3 linked regions of the Drosophila melanogaster genome follow. The protein of the gene in region 2 interacts with the protein of the main gene of each other region in a pairwise test. Each region holds a gene or a part of one and is shown on either strand. Other genes may lie near its edges. The genes, in order: CG31688, CkIIbeta2 and CG8128.

Region 1 (6,453 bases), on a different chromosome or scaffold from region 2:
CTAGTTGTGAATCGCTTTTCGAAGTGTATAAATCGACAGGGAGCGGAATAAGATGGATGCGATGGAAATGAGGTGGTGGCTAAAAAAAAAATTGAAGAGCGCTTTTCCAGCTGCCACCCCACGATTAACTGACATTTGAGCCTCGGATTCCGGATAATCACTTGTGAGGGCCGCCAGAAAAGTGCCAGGATATGCTAAATGGCCAAAGTGGAACCTTAGCAGCGAAAACTTGGTAACCGATATGATTTTGGAAGGAAGGCAGTGCCCCAAACATAATTAGCTCGAACATTTCGATAGCAATGAGGTAATAGAAAATCATTGAAATCACTCACTTTGCATGTGACATAATCCCACTGAGAAGTGCGCCAGCTCCGGCATCTGTCGGAGTATCTCCTCGGTGACCAGGTGGACGCCGCGGTGCTGCGGCCTCAGGTTGATCTTGCGCTGAAACCAGGCGGAGCCGATCTGCAGGCCCACGATTGCATTGCCATCCGCTCCGGCACCGGCGACAGCGCCACCTCCACCGCGTCCGCCGCCACCGCGATGGTTGGCAGAGGCCATGGTGCTGTTGGAGCTGCTGCTCCGGATGTTGCTGTTCCGGCTGACGCTCTGCTTGACCCCGCCTCCACCGCTGCCGCCGCCGCCGCCTCCTCCTCCGCCGGCGCTGCCAGCTCCACCGCTGCCACTGGTCGCTTTCGTTGTGCCGGCGTGTGGATTACCGCTGCTACTGCGACGTCGCTGGCCGCTTCGTCCGCCGCTCCTCTGGTGGCCTGGAGCAGTTCCTGATACCGCACCCGCTCCCGAACCTTGTCCCGATCCCGAACCTGCAGCGGCGGCAGCAGCAGCAGCGGCGGCGGCGGCTGTGGACGTCGATGGTTTTGTGGACGACGTTGTGGCTTCTCCGCTACCCGGACGCACTCACAGGCTCACGCTCACGCACACGCAGACGCACACTTGGCACACTTAAAGCACTGAGCACACTGGCAGGATTCAAGGACTCGAGGACGAACGCTCGACTCCCACAAGTTGTTGACTTTTGCACTGGTTTTCACACCGGATTGGATTTCACTTTTGGCCTTTCGACCTTTTTTCCGGCTTAATTTATTCTGTTATTGCCACTTGTATACGTTATCAGCAACTGCAAAACAAAAGAGAGAGAGATATATATAGAGAATTATTGGTTAGATATTGTACCATGGTATTGGACAGGTATCATCATACAATACTTATACTAAAGCACATAGCAGTTTACGAAAGAGAACTTAAATATATATATATATCTATTCTAAGTAGTTAAGCTATTTTAAGTACAGAAAAGGGTTGAAAAATCAAAATAAATAAGTGTGCAAGTCTTTGGCGAACAAGTGCTATTAATCATACACGGTTGTAAGTATCCAAGCGTTAATAAGCAACTAAATGGAAGTGGTCTTAGTGGTCTTTACTGACCAGTCAGCCCCAAGGGCGATCATCTCATCTCCCTAAACAACCTTTTATGGCTCCACAGACCATGGACTAGCTCACATAAATCAAATATTAGTGCTTGGGCGGCTGCTGCAGTTTGGCTGTGTGGAATCATCCCATATTGTGGGTAGTTGCCACTAGAGTACCACCACCCAGAGTACGAGCACTGGAGCGCCCACAATCAACAAGTTTTTAATTGCCAAGTGCAAACAGCAAACAAGATTGTTATGGTTATCAATGAGCCAGAGGTAGTAGAGGTGACCCTTCCAACATTTGGTCACGGGCCATAATAGCGTGCTTTGATTGTATTGCTCCAAATGGCTGGTTGATTTGGCTGGCATTTTGTACATTAAACAAAATGTGTATTTATGTAAGTTAATAATTTAAGCCAAAAGTAGAGAAGTATTTATGGTGAAAAACAACGAAGATATGATTTATTTTCTAATATTTTCAATTAATATTCCCACTCTTCCTATAGCAGCTATATGTTATATTCGTCCGATTTTAATCCAATTCATTTTTGATTTTTTCTTTTTATTTTTAAACAATTTTTGGTAAAGTTTCATTAAGATATTGTAGTTTTAAGAGGGAGAGACTTGATTGCGTTGAAACGGACGAACTTACGGACGGACAACAGATGGACATGCCTATATCCTGTTGATCAAGGATAAATGTAGCTAAATGTAGGCTTAAAAAATTCACCCTTTTGATTTTGGATCGTATAGCTTAAGCAAACTGTTGTTTCAAGGAACATCCGCAGAAGGAGTCGCACGGCAGCGACAGTCGGAAAGTGGAGTAAAATTTGAAGCGGCATAATGAGCACGTGTCGCCCAAGTGGGCCAAAAGGGGGCGGGGCAAGGGGCAGTTGGGTGGTTGGGTGTTTGGGCGGCTTTTGAGGGGTGACAAGGACATGGAACTGTTGGGCCGGGAAAGCGTTCGTGCGAAATGGAAACAGCAGCTAGGAAAAGACACGAGACGGCGCAGGATAGACAACCGTTGCATTACAGACACATGGCATCAAGGAAAACACTGTTTACGAATCCCTCTTCCTCCACACACACACACACTCACTCACACACACGCAGCTCCCAAGTTGAGTGCACTCACATAACGAAGCAATCGAAATGCATTTGAATCGGGGAAAACGGAGAAGGCGTGGAAAATGGGAGCACGGAGATGGAAGCCACAGCTGCTGCAAAGGAAAACCACGACGAGTGTGAGTGATTTCGGGTGTCGGCATTTGGGTAAGCAGTAAAACACTAAAAACGAGGAAGTGCAAAAAGAAAAGGCCCAGGCCCACAGACCCCCGAAAAAAGAAGGGTTACCCCTTACCACAAAAACGATTTGCACGACACTAAAGGCGCTGGAAGCCCGAAGAAAGGCCGCCAAATAGAGATGAGCCCCGGGCGAAGCTAAGTTGTTACCATATCGGGATTTGGCAGGCATTCTTCAGAATTTTTGTTAAAAGAATTGAAATTAGATTCCAGAGAAGACGGGTGGCATTGGTTGGTTCAGATGCCTTGATTTGTATTTACTTAAAATATAAACTGAAAAGAACAAGATTCGCAATCAAACTACCAGTTAAAATATATAACATATGGTTATTTTGATATTTAAGAATAAACTGTCTTAAATAGAAAGGGGTTTTAAATATAATATATTTGGAAAGAGATTAGTTCGCTCTCATCTCTGGCAGACCAAACAGGGAACTGGGAAACCGAAGGCGTGTCATCTGGTTCACAGCAGCAACTAAAACAACCACAACAACTACAGATACAGGAGGAGCCGAGGAAGAAGAACAAGAACCACGGGGGGGAGGGGGGATGCACGTTGAGGACGCGGCCAGGTAAAGGTCCTTTATTCCTTTTACGGGGCCACTGTTCAAATTTGCATATGCTTTAAATATTTAATGTAATTCAAAAAGAGGAGACAGCAGCGCCAACAAGAATCTGGCAATTGGACAAAGCCCGGCCGGGCATAATCCAATTGGACTGGAAAACAGAGCCCGCTCTCCCATTGGATTTCCCAACAAAAGGAAAGAAAGAACACATGAAGTCGTCGCGTTTTTTGGCAAAAAATCAATTCTCCACGTGATGGCCAAGCGCAGTTTTTTTGGCGATTTACAGAGCGGGAAAAGCGGGGCAAGCCGGGAGTGCTTCCCATTTGATCAACGCCTCAACCTCAACGCATTTCTGGCTTCGTTTTTGGGGCTGCTAATTATTGACATAACAAATGTGGTGGAGCTTCTACCACGCTCTCCGCACAAACACACGCGCAGCAACACAATGAATATTCCGATGACAGCACACGCGAAATTCCCTAAAACAAGAGGAGCGAGAACAGCCGCGATTTTGGGTAGCACGGGGTTTTCGGCGCTTTGTTGACAGGAAAATTGGGAATCGAAGCACGTAGGTATAAAACTTAAATGCACTTAATTACATTTAATTTGCGAGACTGCTGCGCTGCCTTTGTTGTATTTTACGACTGATTTCAACCGCATTCACTGACTTGTGGGGAGAGTAAACTTTATAGAGCCCACGACATCCGACGTCGAACACACAGCGCTGTCACTTTGGTTCGACGCGTTCGTTCGAGTTGGCACTGAACATCTGATTGGATCCCGAGGTGAAGTGTGCGAGGCAACGGCACGATGCTGCTCGTTTGGGTCGCCCGTAAGCGACGCTTGCGTTAGAGGAGCACAGATATAGGGTCCGTACCACGAAATTCACCTTCGCGCGCTTTTCACAATCTTTTCGGTATTTAATTTAAACATCGTAAGCCGTGCGGTATTTTTAATTAGCTAAAGTTTAGTAACGAAACTTAACAGCAAGCTAACTTCAATTAGGAAATATTTTTATATTCTCGTAAATGATTTCAGTTCCACAAATTGTTTCGATTTCAAAAATAATTTGCATCATATTGACTATAATTAAAAGAGTATGCATTTTCTTTTTTAATATTTTGTTTTTATGCCTTAACACACAATTTTTACAGTAATTATCTTCCTATGATGTGACGTCACGTCATACCCATACACACACGTTCTCCATTCGTGGACACCAACACAAGCGAAGAGTACATTCACGTTTTTCATTCAAACATTACTCGAACAGCCTTCTTGGTTCGACGCCACTCTGCGAAAAGTGCGAAATACAGAGAAAATTGCCCTAGACGCCTATTTTAAACTTGTTATTGCCGCAGAAATGTATTCCAAATTAAAGTGGATTCCATCAAAAATTAGTCGTAAAATTGCATGCTATTAAGCTAAGGTATAAGATCAAGTGAAAAATCCAGTGTTTGACTAGTGGAATTGTAAATTTATTTTTAATTTTAAAGTTCAGTTGCAAATTAAACGAATTGTTTAAAAGCATTTAACCATGAAAACGCTTATAATCAAGAGCAATACTTAAAAAACACATTATCTACACCAAAGTCCATTAGGCCAAATAAAATCGCATAGCATGTCCAACTTGAGTAGTAGTTTAATATTTTTAAGTAATCCCTAGTTGAAATCAGCATAGGTGGCATTATTGAACAGAATTAATGAAATATAAAATCTTTCACTTCTACTACTTAATTCTTTAGTTAAAACACATTATATACTATAACAATATAGAAGATTATTTCCATTTACAAAATCAGAAAGCTTAAGCAACAAAAAGGTACCACATTTTTCTAATTTACATTTAGGTTTAGTATTCTATTTTTAAGCCCACATATAAACTGTAATCAAGCACTTACAAATAAAAGAGTTGGATATTATATATTATATGCCTGGTTCTGCTGGTTAAACCGAACTTTGTTGGCCTTCTGATAAGCAAAAACCTATCGAAACTATCGTGGACTTTGCGATAATTTTGCAATGCATTTAAAATTCAAGAAAAATCAAAATAATGCAACTTAAATAATGGTAAATACTCAATAATTAGACCTCACGAGGAGGAAACCGCATTGCATGGCTAGCTACACCCCTTCGAAGCGCTACCAATCGAATATCGATTATTTGGCGGCGATAGGCGTGCAACGTTTGGCGGTCAAAACAAAAGCGCTCGTATGTGCATTCTATGGGTTTTGATTGGCTTTATGTTTGGCGTGTGTGGCTCGAACAAACGAAAAGCGGTGCTTACTTTGCTGATTTGGTGATTAATATTGATTTGTGGATAATATGCGTCTAATTGCAGTGGCGCTTGCAGGTAGGTGCTGGAGATTCTTGGACTTTGATCTTTGTCTGAATCTGTATCTGAATCTGAATCGCTATCTAAATCTGAATCTGAGTCAGATTTGTGGGGATTCACAGCGTGGGTGGGCGCGAAGTAGGCTGGTGGAGGTGCTGACGCTGCTGCTGCTGCCCGGGAATATAGCTATTGCCAACCCCGGATTCGCCGGAGTTGGTGCCGGAAGCGGAGACGGAATCGGTTATGGAATCGGTCTTGGAACTGGAGCCGGAGTCGAGATCTCTGGGCATTTTGGGGCCTAAGTTGTTGCCTTCCTCTTGCGGGCAAACAACGAAGTGGCAACAAAAACAAGAACTACGAATCGCCTCCGAATATAACGTCTGTCGTTACACTCGTTACTCGTATTCGTTTTCCTTTTCTTTTTCCTCTTTTTTTTATGTGGCCAATTCACAGAATGTACATTTTTTACACCTTTCACACACACCCACGCACTTTACGCACACGCTCGCACATTTTGGCCCGATTTTTCGCACACAGCAAGTTGAGCAATTTGTTGTACTTTCTGATTTATTTTATACGCGACTATTGGAGGTGCATATGCATATGCATATGCATATATGTATGTATGTATGTACATATAGGTTTTTACTCGACCCTCTTCGATTTTCGTTCAACAGATTTCTGATTGGGAATTTTTCAGCTGCACGACGTTACCGTTACCAAATGGGCGACTCCTCCCATTCGGAGCCACATGGGCACAGTTCTGCTGCATGGGGCACGCTTTTTTCACAGCTACACAGCGACTCCTTGCGAAGGG
Region 2 (4,953 bases):
CACAATCAAGTCAACCATCTTCGCAAGAAGAACACAGCCAACAGAGCAAAGTTAACAAAAACCGTTTTCGTGTGTGCCAAAATCCCAAACAAGTGACAACACAAAATGAAGGTATATAGCCGAATAGAACTTTCGAGTCAAGTGCCAAGTGGTGTGCTGTGTGAAAAAAAAAAGTCCTCACAAAAGGATATGGGCAGCCAAAACGAAATACAATGCCTCATTCGGCATTCGGGAAACGATATGACTAAAGGATATAAAACTTGAATAGCTATAAAGATCATTCAATATAGGTCCTTTATTAGATACAGTTTCGACCTTTTGTTAAATTTTCAAAGGATATTGAAGTTTGCTGTAGCTAACATACAAACAACGTTGGGTTACAAAATCTTAGAATGATCAAATAAACATCACAATATTTGCCCATATCTTTTTCTGCATTGCAAAGGTGCTAAAATATGTTCGAATTTTGTATTCATTTTTCTGTATCCAATCAATAGCCCTCATTTAAAATCGTTTTTGGCAATAGATCGATCAATCAATTAAACAACTCATCAAACTAATGAAGCTTTCATTGTCTCACATAGCACTTAATCAGCTAATCGGAAGGAAAAGACATGAAATATTAATATTTGAGCCATATTAAAAGTCAAGTTCAGCTGGGTGATTAATCAAGCGGAGATCCGCATAATAAATTTCATAAGTTGCCATCATCATCGCAGTTAAGATTACCATCAATTTGTTTAGGATAGCTACTGTTTTTTATGGTAGGTTGCGGAATTAGAACACCGATATCATTCGCCTGGGAAACAATTGCAACCAGCGATCCCAGTTCATTTCTAGGGTGTGGGTAACAAACAGAAGCAACAACAGCTGCCGCTGCTTGGGGTCATTTTGCAATGAATAAATTAGAGAAACTTTAAGTGGCGGAAGAAGAACTACTGGACATGCCCAAGTAAGGCAGTCTGGAGATGACCAGGCGGCGATAAAAAAAAAATACAGACAAAAGCGCAGCCAAAAAGCATAGCATTTTAACGCCAATGAAGCATGAAAGTCATTGACGGCCCTGTGCCTAAACACTCGGCCAGAAGATCTTTTGCACAAGATTCGGAAATAAGTTGTGTAAGAGTGAGCCGAAGTGGTTCTCCCACAGGTTGTCCGCGCCACACGGCGAATACTTAAGATTCAGACGCATTGCGCAAGATCACGAGATTAGCCCTTCACTTGCAGCCCAGCTAAATCCAATCCAATCCGATGGGAGCTTCACCTGGGACCCAATTACTACAGATTTGCATATGCCTCAGCTAAATGCTGTAAAGATGGGAAAGACAAAGCCAATTCTGGGCCTGCTCGCAGGCCATCAAATCCAAACAAAAGATTGTCAAGCGGGTCACAGCCTGAGCAGTTATTGTTATGAGAGTTTAATGAGCTGGCAGCCAGCCGGGCGAACAGTGCCCACTTATTCGAGAAGTACGCGACAGTTGCTTATGAGAAATTTTAGCTTTAGGATCAAATGTGGGATGGGCTATCGATTTCTCCTACTGGCGTCATTGTCACATCTTTTTGGATCTCAGCGGCAGTACGGTAGGCCGTGGGGTGGATTTTAAAGCCATAAAGCCTGGGAAAACATAGTTACATTAGTTATACATTATTAGTAACTACCTTAAAAACATAGGGAAATAGAAGGAAACACAGGAAACGGAAGATCTAACCTGGGCACAAACTTCTGCTTTGCCCGCTTGGGCCTAGCATCCGGTTTCTCCATAAAGAACATATGAGGGAATCCAGTGCCAAAGAAGGCTCCATCCAGATTCGAATGTCTCGACGCCTTGGGAATGTACACATCATTGCACTTGGGGCAATAGATGCGTACCATATCCTCGCCAGGATTATCACTCAAACCAATGGGCAGCACCGGCTGGCTATGGCAGAATGCACGTGGACATGTGCCGAATTCGCCCTTGTTGTACTTGTCCAACATCAGTTCGATGCCCCTGTTGGTTAGGATAAAGCGAGCATGGATCAAGCCATACAGTTTCTCTGCACTAGCCTCCAGTTCTGGTTCAGCGGGGTCTTCCGAAGCTGAACCCGGATTAAGATCCAGGATCACCTCCAAGGCACATTTGTAGTTCTTAACGTTCGAATCAAGAAAGTTAAGGTTAAACTTGTCCTGGATATATTCCTCATCCACCTCGCAAAAGAATTCGTTGCCACGCTGCTTGCAAAACCAATGAATCCAGGAAGATTCGTCCGAATCGGTCATAGCTGCTTCTTTTAAGCTTTAATTTAATCAGTCAAAATCACGAGAGCTTAACAATAGGACTTATTTAATTTCGAATGACAGCTGTCAGGGACGGAGTGTTCAATCAAGGGTTGTCAACTCAAAACGAAAACTGTAATGTAAATGCAACCCTGAATTTTCATTCCCAGGCTTTTACATCCATTGCCCTGCTCGTGTGCCTGGCTGCCTGGACCCATGCGGAACCACCAGTTCCCCAGAACCAGTACCTGCCCCCCAATCAGTCGCCTCAGGCGCCGTCCAACAACTACCTGCCGCCCACGCAGGGCTACCAGTCGCCGTCGAGCAACTACTTGCCACCCCAGCGGGCCGGTGGCAATGGAGGAGCGCCCAGCAACAGCTATGGCGCCCCCATCGCTCCTCCCCAGGGTCAATATGGTGCTCCAGCGCTGACTGGTGCCATCTTCAAGGGCGGAAACGGAAACGGAAACGGCGGCTATGGCGGCGGTAATGGCAACGGCAACGGCTACGGACAACGGGATGAGGAGCAGTATGGACCGGCCAAGTACGAGTTCAAGTACGACGTACAGGACTACGAGTCGGGCAATGACTTCGGCCACATGGAGTCCCGCGATGGTGATCTTGCTGTGGGCCGCTACTACGTCCTGCTGCCCGATGGACGCAAACAGATTGTTGAGTACGAGGCCGACCAGAATGGATACCGCCCAACCATTCGGTACGAGCAGGTCGGCAATGGCAACGGAAACGGCAATGGCAATGGTCGCAACGGTGGCGGTTATGATAGCAACGCGCAGCAGGGCAAATTCAACGGCTACTAAGATGGGGAAGTGAGGATACCCGATTTAGGTCGACCCCGCAACTATACTCGTCTACTTCATGGGATCGCTGGCCGAGTATTAAACGCACATCCAGCCAGTGGGCCAGCGATCGCAGTCAGTCTATCCATATAACCCTATTCCCATCTCTGTGCATACCCTTAGTGGGACGCCCGCCATTTTGCCATAGACAGGCGCGTTCCTTTCCGTTTCCGTTTCACTGCTGTTCGTTATCCTGTTTTCCGTCTCTACACCTGGAACTCCTTGCCGTTTTGTTTTGTTTAAGCGCCTTCATTTTGTGTTAGTCTACGCACACACTCCAACACACCATTCACCCACAACATGACCATTACGCATTCATACATACATGCATAAGGATTGTATTTAGTTTTTAAACGAAAATGGAAATTCGAAAGTGAAACGAACTTATGAGATTTTTGTGTATATTTAATAATTATTAAATGAATAAAGAAGCATTTTTGTATAAAACAAAGTCAAAAAGAAAAACCAAACTGTTTTTATAATTAACAAGATAATTCATTCTGAGAATTGAATACATTGCACAACTCTATTTTACATATTCAAATAGCTATATCCAAATTGCCTACTTCAGGACCCGCTCCAGTTGTCCCTGTCTGTTGTATCGATACACAGGATCCTTGAGTTGCCCCACAGTGGAGTAAGTCAACTGAGCCGTAAAATCATCTGCATCTGCATCTGCGTTTTGCTGGGAGCTGAAAGAAACTCTTTGTAGTTTATTGTCCTGCGAAATGACGAAGTAACGTCCCTCTCTGATTTTGGGCTGCTGATTGTCTACGATATTTTTTGCAGTAACTGGCTCCTCATCATCAGGATAAATGATTTTAAATTTCGGATCTGCCGGACCGTACTTGTTGGACGGTCGTGAGGTGGGCAAAATCTCTTCCTCGGGTATATCCAGTTGATTTGGAGGCAAATAATTTGGCTGGGGCTTTTCCACTGGATCGAACTGGTCCACTCGTGCCTTTGTGATTTCTACTCCCTGACTTGATCGGATAGCAGGCACATACTCGTTGGGTAAGTTGAATGGAATCTGCGGATGCCAACCAGTTGGTGCATAAGGTGCTATACGTCCACCGGTAAAATCCACTTCAGCTTGTACAATGGCCACAAATGGCAGCAGTAGAAGCAACTTTAGGAATGCCAAAAAGATTTACGTAAAAATGTTTATTAAATAGCCACATCATACCTTTGTCACCATTTTAATGAACGGCTCGATTGAAACTGCGGTGCAATATTTGGGATTTGCTCATTTTTATATTAAACAATTGGAACCATTGCAATATTTATCATGCCGGACACGCACCTTGTTCGTCTGACACCAATTGGACTGCATCTGTTCCATCTTCGGACTACATAGTCACGTATCCAGCCGACAAAAATAAAAAAGAATCAAATGCACACAACCTTGACAACGGATGAGCGAATAATTGGCAAAGGCTCAACTTTGGTTTTGCTTTTAGATGCACATAAAAAGTGAAAGTGTTATAAGAGCATTAATTTGCAAAATAATTTATAGAAAATCTAACTAAGAATACATTTCAATGTAATTATTATTTATTTAAGTGCGTATGCATTTCAAGAATATTGAATAAATGCAACTTATAAAACGCTTAGCAATTTACAATTTTCGAAAATACGTTATTTCTAGGGTAACCACATTTTAACTGTAAAGTCGTATGCAGCCACACTGCTGTGTCGTGCATTTTTGTATCTTCCGCATGCTGCCCTATAATCTACGACATACGGTCACACTGCGCATGTGGAACTTTAAGAAAATCTGCAAAACATTGACAAAATTATTAAATTTAATAGCTTAATCGGACGAATAAGAGTGTATTT
Region 3 (6,334 bases), on a different chromosome or scaffold from region 2:
GCTGCGCCGCCTGTGCAGCCCTGATTTTTACACAACATAAACATTCGATTTTGGAGGAGCTCTTTTTTCGAGAGAATACCAGGTCGTTGGACACGGGAGATGCTCTGATTAGGGGCGCATGTGGAGCAGCCAACGCCGGAATCGCCGACATGAAAATCCTCTCCCGTCTGGGTCGCCTGATGCGCTACACGGTGGCCTACGCGGCAATCACACACTGCACCTTCGAGTACATTGGCGATTTCGTCCTGGTAAGGCGTCTAGGATGAAGTTCCTGGGCGGGTATACTTGCCCAACATGTGCCAGCATCACATAGTTCGTGTGAATGCATTAAGGTACTCTCCACTTGTTTTTCCACCTTGTGTAACTTCCACTTGATATCCTTCTTTTGCGGAAAAGTACGTACACTCACATTAATGCAACCATTTCCAGTGCAAAGGACCCTCCATGGAGCCCACCCTGCACTCGGACAACGTTCTTCTCACCGAGCGCTTGTCGAAACACTGGCGAACCTACCAGCCCGGCGACATAGTCATCGCCATATCGCCCATCAAAGCCGATCAGTTCATTTGCAAGCGTATCGTGGCCGTTTCCGGTGATCAGGTGCTAATCCAGAAGCCCATTCCCATTGAGGCGGAGTTTAGTGGTAATTCGGATGACAAGAAGAAGCCCGTGATGGTCAAGGACTATGTGCCGCGCGGACACGTTTGGATTGAGGGTGACAACAAGGGAAACAGCTCGGATTCCCGCTACTACGGACCCATTCCGGTGGGCCTCATCCGGAGCCGCGTGCTCTGCCGCATCTGGCCGATATCCGAGGCCACGGGTCTATAGATGGCATTCGTACAACAAAGAGTTTAAAATCAACTTGACCCAATAAATGGCCTATGTTTCGTTTGGAAATTATAGTACATCAAACCACAACTTTTTAGAATCATTACGTATGCGAGTTTCGTCTCATTTGTGCGACTTCTGGTTTTTGCATATCATTGAAAATAAGTTGAAAAAAACAGGAGAGAATAATAATTTCTTTTCATTTTTGTTTTTAATAAACATATTTTTCAAAGTATGAAGCTTACATCCTTAATCCTTATTGGCTTACCTTCTAAGGAAGTATTTACCATGTTTGGGCGTCATATTCAAAATAATGCCATATTTTAAATTATTGGCGTTTCTAAAAATGGTATCAAAAGAAAAGCTTTTGTAAAAGGCTGTGTGAGCTTTAATTGATATATGCATATAATTATATACAAAAAAATTCATTTATTGACTACATTGTGAACATTTGAATGCGCAGTTGTGATGCTGCTGGCTTTTGGAAGAAAGGACTTTATAAAAATTGCACTAAGGATTTGGCCATTGCACCGACAAGTCTCACGAATTCTTTTTATCCTGCTGCTCCTGTGGCTGCTCCCGATCCACGTAATACAGATTGTATTTCTTCTTTAGCACCTGATGCACTTCGTCGCGACAGGTGAGGGTCAGGCCGCGCTTCTGGTAGTCCAAAAAGGTGCAGACGAACTGCCTGTTCGTCTCGTGGACCTGCGGATGCTTCAGATACTCCGCGATGGGCATCCACTGGATGCGCGCTATCTCGCGTTCGCAGCGCGTAAAGTCCAAATTCAGTGGCTTTAGGGCGATGACCACGTACATGTCGGAGCAGCCGAAGGTGCCGCCATGGGCATGCCGCAGACTGACCACTGAGCGGAATTCGGTGCGGATTCCCGTCTCCTCGGCCACCTCTCGTATTGCCGCATCGATGAGATTCTCCCGCGGCTCCACATAGCCGCCGGGCAGCTTCCAGCTGTTTGGTATCATTGCAAAACGATCGGACACCACCAGCACCTCGTCCTGTTCGTTGATAACCAGTCCGCCGACGCCCATTAGCGTGTGGGCGTAGGTGGGTAGGTTGCTAGACTCGTGCTCCGGCAACCAGCGGTACATGACCACCACACCGGTCTTGGCATGATGGAAATCAAAGCCGTTCTCCGCCAGAATGGGCACCCAATCAGCCTGCTCCTTGTACACGCGGAACCAAATGGCCCGGTTCTTGTTCGTCGTCCAAAAGTCCAGGGATTCTAAAAGGTATTTCGTTATTAATATAATTTGGTAATTGGTGACACAGATTTAATTAAAATTATAAGCCGTTTATTGTCTATGACTATTTATAGTCATAGACAACTTTTAAATTGATAAAAGTGGAGAGCAATGATTTTGGAAATTTAATTTAGTACCCCAACTTTAGATAGATAAACTTTTAATCAACTTATGATAGCACGAAGACTTAGAAGATACAATGATACAAAAAATATACGTCCAGGCAAAGATACCGACATATTTTAAGATATATATTCTTACTTGTGAGCTTGTCCCGGAAACTGGATTTGTCCACGTTCTCCTCGCGCCCATCGACTGTTACTCCGGCAAATCGATCCGTAATGCCGCGGAATACATCCGCCGGCGTGTCCATGGTTTTGGAGCTAAATCGTGGGATACAAATAGTTTTCAATCATGTGTTAAATACATATGTATGTACATCTTTCAATTCTTACGACGAGTATGCTCTTGTAAATTGCTGCTGTGACTGAAGCTTTAATGGAACTCTGGCGGCAACCGTGGATGTGGGTCGTTTTCTAGCGGTCCGGAGGAGTGTGCTCCATGAATTGAACGCCGGCTGGTTAAGTACGGTTCTGCGAGCCAGAAAACCGGTGGCCAACATTAAATAATCTCACAGTTCGACGAACACAACGTTGTTGATGACGACGACGGCGATCGACCACGTTGGCGTCACTACTAGTTCGCAACCGGAGATCTGGGTGCTGTCCGCTTGGTGGGCGTGGCGGAGGCGGTGGCGGCGACAACGACTTTACCGTCTCAGTTTATCCACAATGCGAGGTGAAGCCAATTCCTGGGCATGCTGTGTGTGTGTGTGAAACGAGGCAAACAGACAGGTGAAAGAGGTGAAATAGCCGCATGGCTCCAAACAACGATGCAAATCTGCTGCGATGGGCGGAGCAGAGCGAGACGGAGGAGCAGGTTGCCACTATCTGCCGCCGTCGCTAGATAAGCGATATGGCCGCTGTTACGTTCGGATTTCTGTTCTTGACATTTCGAATTTGGCGCTAACGTCAGTAACAAATAGTGGCGATAGAGATGCGCAGAACAGTGTGACTTTGACAGAAAACCGGTGACATGAGTATAATGAAACTAAAATATAGATTCAACTGAAAGTATCACTATATATGTACATATATATAAAAAACTGTGTTATCACTATACTAATACTAATACTAATATTAATGGCAATCACGATAGCAGTCACTGCTTCCTGCTCATCTCTAGCGCAACCTTGAGCGACAACCCAAGGTGCGTGTGGGTGGTGGGTGGCGGTGTTGGGGTGTGGGGTCGTTTCAATTGTTTCCGCATGGGTTTTGTGTTTGTTTATCAACTGAATTGCTGCTGTTATCAACGCGCCAGAGAATTGATACGCGTTTTACATAACAAACCAAGCCAAATATATTTTTTTTTATTCCATATCTGCGCTAGAATAGAACATTGTGTGGAACTCGAACTCACTAGAAAAGTCAATGGCTAATGGTGTCACTGAGCCAATCCGTCCAGTTCCTCCAGACGACTAATTACAGATCCGATCCAATGTAGCCATGGACTTTGGCATAAACAAGCGAATAGAGCAGCGCGCGATTTCAATTCGCTTCCACTTCCACTAGCACGTTAATTTCTAGGGATGGCGCGCACACAGAAAAGTCAGTCAGCTGATCCGGCAGTGCTGCCAGCCTGGCTAGAAAAAGCTGTTCAGCCTTATATGTAATGGTTAAAAATCAAATATGAGCAAACCAACATTTTTTAAATATATGGCCTCCGGAACAATTTATTAAATCTTGAAATAGCTAATATGGGTTATATAAGTTACTGGCTAGCGGCTTGGCTAATATATCGAATGTTTCCATCCTTTAGATGGCCAAAAGAGCTTAAGTTCGCTGGTCGTCGGCTTCGTTGCGGGAAAATTCGCTGCTGTCATCGCTATTTATCGCGCTCTTGGTATGCGTGCAGTCCTTCCTACAATAATATAGTAATAGTCACAGTCAATGCCAGGAAGGACAATGCTGCATAAGTAGTAGCATAAGTAATGATTAATTCAATTGGGAAATTTTTGATGAGTACGCAAAACATCTAACGCTATTCTAATAAGAAATGCGACCAGCTTTAGAATTAACATTCTGATTAGCAGAGGGTTGAAGTCGTTCTTAAAGACGGCTAAAAGTAGACTACAAAATATTTAAATGCAAGAGGAATTCAATAATCCTAGAACTTAAACTAAGCTTTTCAAATTTGAATGGAAATGTGGAATAAATACCGTATATGTAGCATTCGATGCCGATCTCCTAGTCTCTATCTCTAATCGGTTCGACGTGGCCACGTTCGGCCAGATGCAGCAGATCCTCGATGCCCTGCCTGCGGAGCATGCGGCGATGATTCTTGAAGAACGATATCACCTTCTTGGACTGTGGAGCCCGCATCCGTCTCTTGACCGTCATCGTTGGTCATCTTGGAGCTACTGTTCCATTTTTAATTTTTTCGCCTTTTTACTTTACTTGAATACGAAAAGAAACATATCTGTATAAATCGTTTTAATAGGCCAATAGGTGCCTTCAAATTCTATAGTTGAGATCCTTTGAAACTTTATTTTCATATATAACTAAATATCCTCTTTGGCTGCGCGCCCAGTTTGGCCCATTTCTCTCCTCTTCACTTATTTTATTTTATTTAATTTGATTTTTTTTTTTTGAAATCGAAATAGTTGCGCAATTGAGGGCGAGTCCTTTGTGCGAGTCCAGTGATTTGGAAAGGGCTATTTAGAGCAACAAAGCGCCAGCGACCAGGAATCCTGGGGAATCAGGAACCAGTTAGCAGTTTAGAGCGCGATTGAAGGGATTACGAGTAGAAAGGATCGTAAATGTGTTGCGAAATGCACATTTAAACCGTGACTCACCAGGGGGGTGGTAGTTGTGTGTGTGTGGGGGGGGGAGGTGTGTGTGTGTGTGTGTGGTGGTATGTCCTTGTGCCATAAATTCAGGTGCTTCAGTTGGACAACAATGGTACTCGTTGAGTTTCGCCTGATGTTTGTATTTTGATTGCCGGCTTAGCAATTTTCAATTTCTTTTTGTTTTTTGGGGGGGAAATTCCCAAAAAAAAAAAAATATGCGAAGAGGGAGTACATAAAAAAGTTACCCCTCTCCAGCGGGCGATATTTGCTCAGTTGTTTAAACAAATTTTCCGCTTAGGGTTGCTAACCAACCTCCTGTTTGCACACAATGGATTTCCATGCCGTGGCTTAAGTGAAAATGCCATCTCAAATATTTATTAAAAAATCTATGGCTGTTTGGGGACACGTACATATACACACATATATATATATATATATATCTATTTTCCATCGCCGGCTTATCGAAAACTTCAACTCCAATGTCGAAGTTGGTGGAAAATCGGGGTTATTAGGTTCCCAGGCGCGATCTTCGTCAACCCTTTTCTTTGTATTTCCTTCACTATTTTGCGCGCACCCGGAAAATTCTTGTTTGTAATTAGGGAGTTTTCCTTATCATTTATACCCGTAATGCCCTCGGCATTCAGCATTGTTTCGCCGCCAATTAAGCGTAATTTCAAGTGTCCCGTTCTCGTATTTGTCTAATAAAAGTTTGAAAAACTCCTAGGAAAACTGGTTGGGTTCGCTAACGAACTGTTTATATTCAGACAATGGTTTGGAAATTGAAATAAATTAACGTCGATTTTTCCCCATTTCCAGTCGGTGGGTGTGTGCCTTTGCCAGCTGAAGGCATCAGGTTTTTCTTTTTATTTTTTCTTTTTTTTTTGTCACAGTGCATAAGCTTTATTCGAATGAGTAAACGGGTAATGAGTAATATTTTTTTGTTGGATTTTTCACTGAAGGCGTGACAAGCGGAAAATTAACTACTATTAAGCCATTTTCACACCCCCTTCAGCCAGCGCATTTTCACGAAACTGTATAATCTATATGACTGGCTTAACTGGTAATTACTTTAGATATTTATGAAAATAGAAATGGCCAAATTTGTTTGATTTTTTGTTTTATTTTTTTTTTTGCGTAACTAGCTTGCAAACTTTTGATTCTCTCGTTTTTGAGCACAAAAAAAAAAGGTTCCTAACCCATTTTGTGCTGGCCATCGAAGTGATCCCAAGTGGCTGGCAACGTAATGAAAATCCGCTATGGGACAGTGGATGGCCGCGGGCATGTTTTCTTAATTAATTTTCCGTGTTCGTGTTTTTCCCCGGGCTGTAAAGG

What was found.
Region 1: the proteins of CkIIbeta2 (region 2) and CG31688 interact in a two-hybrid assay, tested with the Drosophila melanogaster proteins (one large-scale study listed by BioGRID).
Region 3: the proteins of CkIIbeta2 (region 2) and CG8128 interact in a two-hybrid assay, tested with the Drosophila melanogaster proteins (one large-scale study listed by BioGRID).

The regions. Positions count from the first base shown.
Region 1 is NT_033779.5:20,426,609-20,433,061, reverse strand, and holds the start of CG31688 (uncharacterized protein), read right to left. Parts: upstream 4,038-6,453; 5' UTR 3,901-4,037; intron 1,139-3,900; 5' UTR 562-1,138; coding exon 333-561; intron 1-332.
Region 2 is NT_033778.4:20,286,986-20,291,938, reverse strand, and holds CkIIbeta2 (casein kinase II beta2 subunit), read right to left. Parts: upstream 2,395-4,953; 5' UTR 2,261-2,394; coding exon 1,710-2,260; intron 1,616-1,709; coding exon 1,507-1,615; 3' UTR 1,389-1,506; downstream 1-1,388. Other genes in the region: Cpr56F (cuticular protein 56F), read left to right, coding at 106-111, 2,428-3,075; CG34199 (uncharacterized protein), read right to left, coding at 3,677-4,243, 4,301-4,312. UniProt on the Drosophila melanogaster protein: Participates in Wnt signaling. Plays a complex role in regulating the basal catalytic activity of the alpha subunit.
Region 3 is NC_004354.4:15,694,903-15,701,236, reverse strand, and holds CG8128 (uncharacterized protein), read right to left. Parts: upstream 3,744-6,334; 5' UTR 3,574-3,743; intron 3,205-3,573; exon of another isoform or gene 2,915-3,204; 5' UTR 2,717-2,914; coding exon 2,550-2,716; intron 2,478-2,549; coding exon 2,356-2,477; intron 2,076-2,355; coding exon 1,372-2,075; 3' UTR 1,203-1,371; downstream 1-1,202. Other genes in the region: CG9240 (uncharacterized protein), read left to right, coding at 150-248, 430-831.